2 linked regions of the Daphnia pulex genome follow. The protein of the gene in region 2 interacts with the protein of the main gene of each other region in a pairwise test. Links are inferred from orthologs where the notes say so. Each region holds a gene or a part of one and is shown on either strand. Other genes may lie near its edges.

The links.
Region 1: the proteins of neural Wiskott-Aldrich syndrome protein-like (region 2) and formin-binding protein 1-like interact in a two-hybrid assay, tested with the Drosophila melanogaster proteins (3 studies listed by BioGRID, with this or other methods). The link is inferred for Daphnia pulex from reciprocal best matches to the Drosophila melanogaster genes WASp and Cip4.

Annotation. Positions count from the first base shown.
Region 1 is NC_060028.1:4,802,176-4,805,833, reverse strand, and holds part of formin-binding protein 1-like, read left to right. Parts: intron 1-1,918; coding exon 1,919-2,066; intron 2,067-2,886; coding exon 2,887-3,159; intron 3,160-3,537; coding exon 3,538-3,658.
Region 2 is NC_060019.1:7,011,667-7,015,424, reverse strand, and holds the start of neural Wiskott-Aldrich syndrome protein-like, read left to right. Parts: upstream 1-1,419; 5' UTR 1,420-1,562; exon of another isoform or gene 1,563-1,579; intron 1,580-1,622; exon of another isoform or gene 1,623-1,768; 5' UTR 1,769-1,787; coding exon 1,788-1,889; intron 1,890-1,957; coding exon 1,958-2,185; intron 2,186-2,257; coding exon 2,258-2,354; intron 2,355-2,415; coding exon 2,416-2,702; intron 2,703-2,802; coding exon 2,803-3,588; 3' UTR 3,589-3,758. Other genes in the region: wiskott-Aldrich syndrome protein-like, read left to right, coding at 1-122; pleckstrin homology domain-containing family J member 1-like, read right to left, coding at 320-553, 622-685, 748-917, 985-1,120, 1,188-1,237.

The DNA.
Region 1 (3,658 bases), on a different chromosome or scaffold from region 2:
CAAGGAAGACGAGTATCAAACGAGTTGTTGATCAGGTGCACGAAACATAACGGTTCAGTGAGTTTCTTTAACAGTTTGAAAACTAGTCCTCCGTTTGTTTAGTTTTGTTTTGTTGGGGGGAGAAAAGGGGTGAGACTAGGCTGGTGGTCCATTCCGGTCATAACCCAACGCTTTTTTTCTAGTCGGGGATAACGAACGAAGTCCAAAAATGAGCTCCAATCAACTGAAGTGAATTTTTTTGTCTGGCTTCAGGGAACACTCGGTGAACTATGTAGAAAAAAATTCAGACGGTAACCGTAGAATATTGGGGCATCCTCTCAGCCCACCCACTTGTCACCAATGTTCACACCTTTTCTTTCTGTACACTTCGACCTTTTGTAATCCAAGAACCTTATTCTCCAGTTATTGTTTCTTAATTTTTATATCGACCAAGCAAATAGATGAACATTTTAAGATTAACCACTAATCACCACGGACAACATTATCAAATGGGTTTTTCTGGTTCAACTGTGGGCTAGATAAGATTAACCACTAATCGTCACGGACAACATTATGAGTTTGAAATGGGTTTTTTTTTAAGAAATCATTTGTGGGATAGATAAAAACTCAAGTTATTACTTTTGTCAAGTTTAAAAAAACGGAAACGAGAAAGACTTTTCAAATAAACAGACGAAATTTAGGGCGGGAGGGGTTGGCCCCATGATTGTAGACTGCGTTAGAGTCTTCCTTCTGTATTATCCCTCGTTACTTGCGCGTGTGTTTTTCTTTGCCTTCAAATGACGGTTGACCTTTCACTTCTCCATATAGGTCGCCGCAAAATGGATCAAAAAGGAGAGAGAGAGAGAGAGAATCAGGCTAATAAAATAAATTTCATTTTTATTTTAGAAAAGAGCTCAGAAGATTTTCGAATCCTATTCGCGCTAGTGTTGCTTCAAGGGTTGATATTCTATAGACAATCTTGTTAAGCAAAGACGAAGCCCCTGGATTTTTTTTTCGTGTTTTTTGTGTGTTTTTTTGTTTTTCCTGTCGCTCTGTCGGAGGAAGAATTACTCAGTCACGCACTGAAAAGGGGGCTATGTCGTGTTGCTCCACAATTCCCTATCTACCGTCTCGCTCCATTGCGTTTCTCAGATTATACTGTTGAATCTGATTCGCAATTCGTGCGCTTCCTCGGCTGCTATCTCCGCACTCGAGGGAAGTTGTCGCTGAAAATCTAATCAGACCCACCAACATCCTATGGCTCTTCTCTCTAGCTTCTCTCTTTCTGGGTCGTCAGGGGAGGATAACGACAATAAGGCATGGCGACCATCTGCTGAGTCATTCCGTCAGAATGTCCAATAGGTGACAAACCCACAATCCCAGATGATTAGCCTTTAACGATCCTTAAAGGGAAATATGACGGCCAGCAGCTAATTCCTATCATCATCAAGCTAATGTGCGATTAGCTGCTGCTGCTGTTGCAACTCAAACTGCACCTATTTCGCAGTCGGGTTGAGGGAGAACGAGAAAAACGAGTTATTTGTTATTTCCGATTGGCGAGAGATATGGCCGTGTGAGCATCTCGCGTTTTTATTTGTTTTCCTCCTTTTCGTAATGGACTCGAGCGTGCGTGTGCACGATGAGCCTGGGAATGAGATTTTTCTTCTCTCTCTCTTGTTGCTTCTCTCCTCTCGATTGCTTTTTCTTTCGTCTGGTGCGTCGTCATTTTTATTTTGAAATTTGTTCATGTTGTGTTTTTCTCGTATCCATCTCACCGTATCCGAACGACTCGTAATGGGTTCCCATGCGGCGCACCGAACGTCCATGGTGAACCAGCTGTGCCTTTTTTTTTTTTTTTTTTGCCGCAGCTCGGGCCCGGCATCGACTTTGAATTTGAACGTGTGGCATAATAGATCTAATTTCCATTTTTCATCAACAGATTTTCGTGCCAGAAAGCCTTTCGTGATGTCCTGACCGAGGTCAACGATCAAGCCGGCCAACATGAAGTGGTAGCCGAAAACCTGACCTCTGCCGTCACCAAAGAGATTGTGGCTCTCGTCAAAGACTTGAAAGAAGAACGCAAAAAGGTATATTCAACGTCCTGTCTATGACTCTCTTCGTAATCGTCTAGCATTTGGATAGGTCCAGCATCTTCCATCACGGTTTGAAATTAACCCCAACCAAAAAGACAAACTTTTCTGCGGCTCAAAAAAAGCGGAAATGGTTTCCAAGTTTTTAAATCGTTTTTATTAACAAGTTTGTTCGTTAGTGGCTTGCGAGTAGTGGGGAAGTAGCAACGACGGAATTCGACGGTATCCCTTCTCATGCTTGAACGTGGATAGCCGCAACTTGAAACAAACACACACACACATACACGTTGTGCTTCAAGGGCATGTAGACTTGGAAAGTTGTGATTATCATCAAGCGGTTTGAAGGCATTGTCTTGTTTTCGTTGGGTGGTGGTTATCCAACTTTAGTGCGGGCGTGCGTGTCCCATTCAATCCACTTTTCTTCTTCCAGCAGTAGCTTTTGGCCTTTGGCGTTGCAGCCAATTTTTTTCTTTTTTCTCTCCTCCCCACGTAACGCAAACAAAGAGAAATAAATTAATATCAAACAGATATATATCCATTACTTTAATACCAACGTCCAAAATGGAAAGAAGCTGAACAGCCAACAGACTTTTGTTTGGGTAATAATAGCCTAAGGGTGTGTCACACTTTCAAAATTCGATGGCAACCTTGAGACTCGACGTTTTACTTTCCATCTCCTTTTTGAAATTAGGTTCTTATTTTTTCAATTGAATGAAAGTTGTGGATGGGCTTCATCGGTTTGCGGCGCATAATTTGTTTCATGATGACTTCATTATTTGATTTGATTTGATTTGATTATTTTTGAATTGTTTGATAGGCCCTACAGGAAGGTGCGAAATTGCAGTCTTCGTTGAACCAGCAGTTGTCGGCGCTGGATCGAGCGCAGAAAAACTACGAAAAAGCTTTCCGGGAAGCGGAGCGGGCCGAGGACGCGTACCGCAAAGCCGATGCCGATCTGAACCTCTCGCGGGCCGACGTCGAAAAGCAGCGCATCAACTCGTCCATCAAAAGTCACCAGTGCGATGACAACAAAAACGAGTACGCCAAGCAACTCCAGAAAGCCAACGAGCTTCAGACGTGTCATTATCAGGTGCGTGGGAAACCAACGGCTTTTTGTTTTTCATCTTTTTTAAACAAAAAACAAAAACAAAAAATGAAATAAGACTAAAATAAGGAAAAACGTCAAACCGTTTTTGGCGAGCTTGTCCTGATTATCAGCCAACGAGGTTTCGGGACCATCCCGGATGGTAATAAGTGCGCTAAAATGATTGTGATGCTGTCATTATTTGTGCTCCCTCGCTGTGGTTGGGAGGAGCTGTCTCGGCAGATGTTGCATTAACGTCAACATGGCGTGTACGTAATAATAGTTTAAAAAGAAAAAAAAATCTGGCCTGTGCTTTTTAGTGCGTTTCTAATTTATTGATCGAAATAATGTTGACGTTTTTTTTTCCTTTTTTTCTTTTTGCAGACGGCCCTTCCAGGTGTATTCCACACCCTTCAGGAGTTAGACGACAAAAGAATTAAACAGGTCGAGAATTTCATAAGGAAAGGTGTGGATATAGAGCGCAGTGTCTTTCCCATAATTAATA
Region 2 (3,758 bases):
CACCAAAAGAAAATAACCATCAACGTTCACGGCCACGCAGCTTCAAAAGAAAGAAGATTTCTAAAAACGACATTAGTTTGCCTGTTGATGTCAATGTGATACAGCGGAATAGCCAATTGTAACAAGTGCAAACCAATGCGACGAACGAGAGGCAGTTTTTCTTTGAGCCATTATTTAATGACTAGATTTCGAAAATCAGCCGAACATAACTTAATTTGCTTAATAGAGGAATGTTAATATTAATTACACAAATCTATCTAAATCTCTTTATGATTGGCACGTTTTTTTTAAGTCGGACGGTTGTTTTTTTCATCACTAATCACCATTTGATCAAGTCTTGATCAGGCTGTTTGTTATCACTTATGAAAGAATTTATCGGCAGGGGATTTTCGTCAGACATGTGACTCACAAATGTTTTTGCTTTAGGCCCGATACGTTTTCTGGCTGGGGGCGTAGGTAAAGCGGGAACTGCAGAATTGGAAGGCTGTTTAAATACACTACTTGGTGTAGTACTACTTGATGATGCTGCTGTGGTACTCCATTTAAAAATGCTCTGAACATACCAAAGATTTTATCATTTTAACAATAATTTTCCCTTAAAATTTTTCCTTTTAAACTTACCTTTCCACCAAGACTTTCCAGTTTACTCTCTAAAATTTTGACTTGGATTCTCAAATGTTCATAACTAAATAAAAATTAATTTTATGTCAGCACTGTCCATGTATGAATTATTATGAAAAATTTTACCTGGCTTGCCTCAAGGCTATGACCCAATTCTGTGCTTGATTCACACTGAAGCAAGAGAACACATGTCTGTCTTGATCACCAGAGAAAGTAACAACAAAAGCAAATACCCCAGATCCATCTTCATCAAATGCTACGGAGCAATTTTCTAAAACTATCACACCAATAGGCTCCTGCAAATGAAATTTTAACAGCTTAAAAATGAGACCAAAATTCTTATTTTCTGTACTTCAAACCTACATTTCCTTTAATTCCTCCAAAATTGTTCAAACCGAAGTAAAAAAGAAGATTGCCTGTCAATTTAAACCAGAATTCCTTGAAATTTCCTTTCGACTTTCCCGGATGAAGAACTCTGTAATTTATTCTTCCTTCAATCCTATTTCAAAAAGAATTTTTGTATAATAGTCATCGTATTTATTCTAATACACAATCTAATGTCTCACGTCGCAGGTTTGAAGGAGGTGGTTATTAATTCTTTTCCATTCACATGCATTTTGGTTTAAAGAATCACTGAAAAAAATATATATATTCATCAACAAGATAAAAAATAATGATATATGGAGCAAATCGAATGAAGAGATAAAAGCACAAAAAGATGAAGTTCTTAGAAATGAAAGGCGATCAACATTCCGAACATGAAGTAAACAACTGATCCCAACCCGTGATTCTCATAGCGTTTATGAATTTACCGCTAGATGGAATTGTTTCGTCCTGTCTGATGTGGACCAAACCATTGGACCGTATTGGACTATTTCCTCAAGATAAAACTCTCGTATCTTAAAATTGTGAAACACCGTGTGTAGATCTTCATGAGACTGGTAAGGGAGTGACTGCCGTAAGTGTTTATGAAATAAGCGTATAAATAATAATTCAATTGAATGATAATCGTGAAAAATTCGTTCAAACAATAAGAACTACTTATCCTTATTTACAGTTGTGTGACAGTTACAATTTAATATAAATTTGTCGATGTGTTTACTAGTTTTCGATCGAAAGTTTAATTGACACATTTTGAAAAATCTAGAACCAGTAATAACATTGCCATGACTGCTGCCAAGCGTCCCCAACCTGAAAACAAACCATCATCTATTCTTTCACTAGAAGAAAATGATCAATTATTTAAACTCATTGGCTTGCGCTGCAAAGTAAGTCCCCCCAGTACTAGATTCTTCTAAAAGTCAACATTTAATGTTTTGTAATTTTTCTTTTTCAGAGTATGGCGTCAGCTGTGGTTCAGGTCTGTTTTGCTGATCCACCCAATAGATCCACATGGAACAAACGGCATTGTGGTGTAGTCTGCTTCATCAAAGATAATATCAAGAGATCCTATTTCCTTAGAGTATTTTGCCTCGACAGGCAATCTGCCATCTGGGAGCAAGAATTGTACAGTTCTTTTGACTACTGTGCACCAAGACCTTACTTTCACACTTTTGAGGGAGATGTGAGTCCTGACATTCATTTGATCATATTAGTAAATTACAATATCAATTTGGTTAATATTTTTCGAATGCAGGAATGTCGCATCGGGTTTAATTTTGCTAATGAAGGCGAGGCAGAATACTTTCTGATGGCTATCAAAGAATATTTGAGGATGAAATCGGAGAAACGAGGTGTGTACATTTTGATGTTGACAAATAATGGTTGATTAATAGCTCAGTTGTTGTGTTTTAGAACGCCGTCGTTTATCACAGCAGCAAGTGCAGCAACCGCAACCAGGAAAACCCACGCCAGTCGCCACGAACGGATCGGTACCAAAATCTACAGCAGTACGATCAGCGACAATCACAAACAGTATAACCGTGACAAAAAAAGGGAAGAAAGACAAGAACAAGAAAATTACCAAAGCGGATATTGGAGGGCCATCAGATTTCAAACACATCAGTCACGTTGGATGGGACCCCAATCAAGGATTTGCACTTGACAACGTCGATCCAAATCTGTTGAAGTTCTTCGCCAGAGTAAGACGACTATTTCGCTCAGCATTTCTGTGTTTAACTTTTCTATGGTCTTAACTTAACTTCTGTTATGGTTTAACTTTTTTTTCTTTTGTAATGAAAGGCCGGCATATCGGAGAATCACTTGAAAGACAAAGCAACACGTGAATTCATCTACGATTTTATCGACAAACATGGAGGAAAAGAAGCGGCTATTCGTGAGATTTCGAGTTTACAGTCATCCGGCGGCAGTTTGTTTTCAGCACCTCCGGTGCCAGCAAGGAATCCTCCGTCTACACCTCAGACGGCAAGGATCGCTCCTCCGGCACCACCCGTTTCAGCTCCACCGCCGCCACCTTCAAGAGTGATTGCCTCCCCTCCATCTGTTGCTCCTCCAGCACCTCCTCAACGTGCCCCACCACCGAAAATGGCACCAATTAACAACGTTGCACCCCCACCACCTCCTGTCGGTGCACCTCCTCCTCCTCCACCACCTCCACCGCCTCCTTCATTTGGTGGACCTCCTGCTCCTCCTGTTCCTTCATTTGTTGTTTCGTCTCCGTCACTCCCACCCACTCCAGCTCAACCCGATGTCCGTGGCGCCCTGATGGACGCCATCAAAGAGGGACACAAACTCAAATCGGTGCCGAGTGATGCCGATCAATCGATGAAGAGTGGCGCTAAAGTGCCAGCCTTCGATTCACGCAACGATTTGTTGGGTCAAATAAGAGCAGGAAAGGAACTGAAACCCGTGGAGAAAAAGGCTTCTGTTGTTGCCGTCAGCGACGATGTCATGGAAGGTATGGCCGGTGCCTTGGCCAGGGCCTTGGAGGAAAGATGTCGTGTCATCCATTCCGACAGTGATGAAAGCGGCCAGGACCCAGATGAAGATGACGATTGGGACGATTAATAAAATTTTTGTGAAAATCGTTCCCTATATCAAAAGCAGTCCTCGAGTTTGACGTAGTATTATTTTAAAGAGACTTATTAGTCTTTTATCTTTCACTGGAATTTAATTATTTGCAATATTGCTTCTGCCTAAATCTTCCAGTGGTACAAGCTATCCATTTACATGTTTAA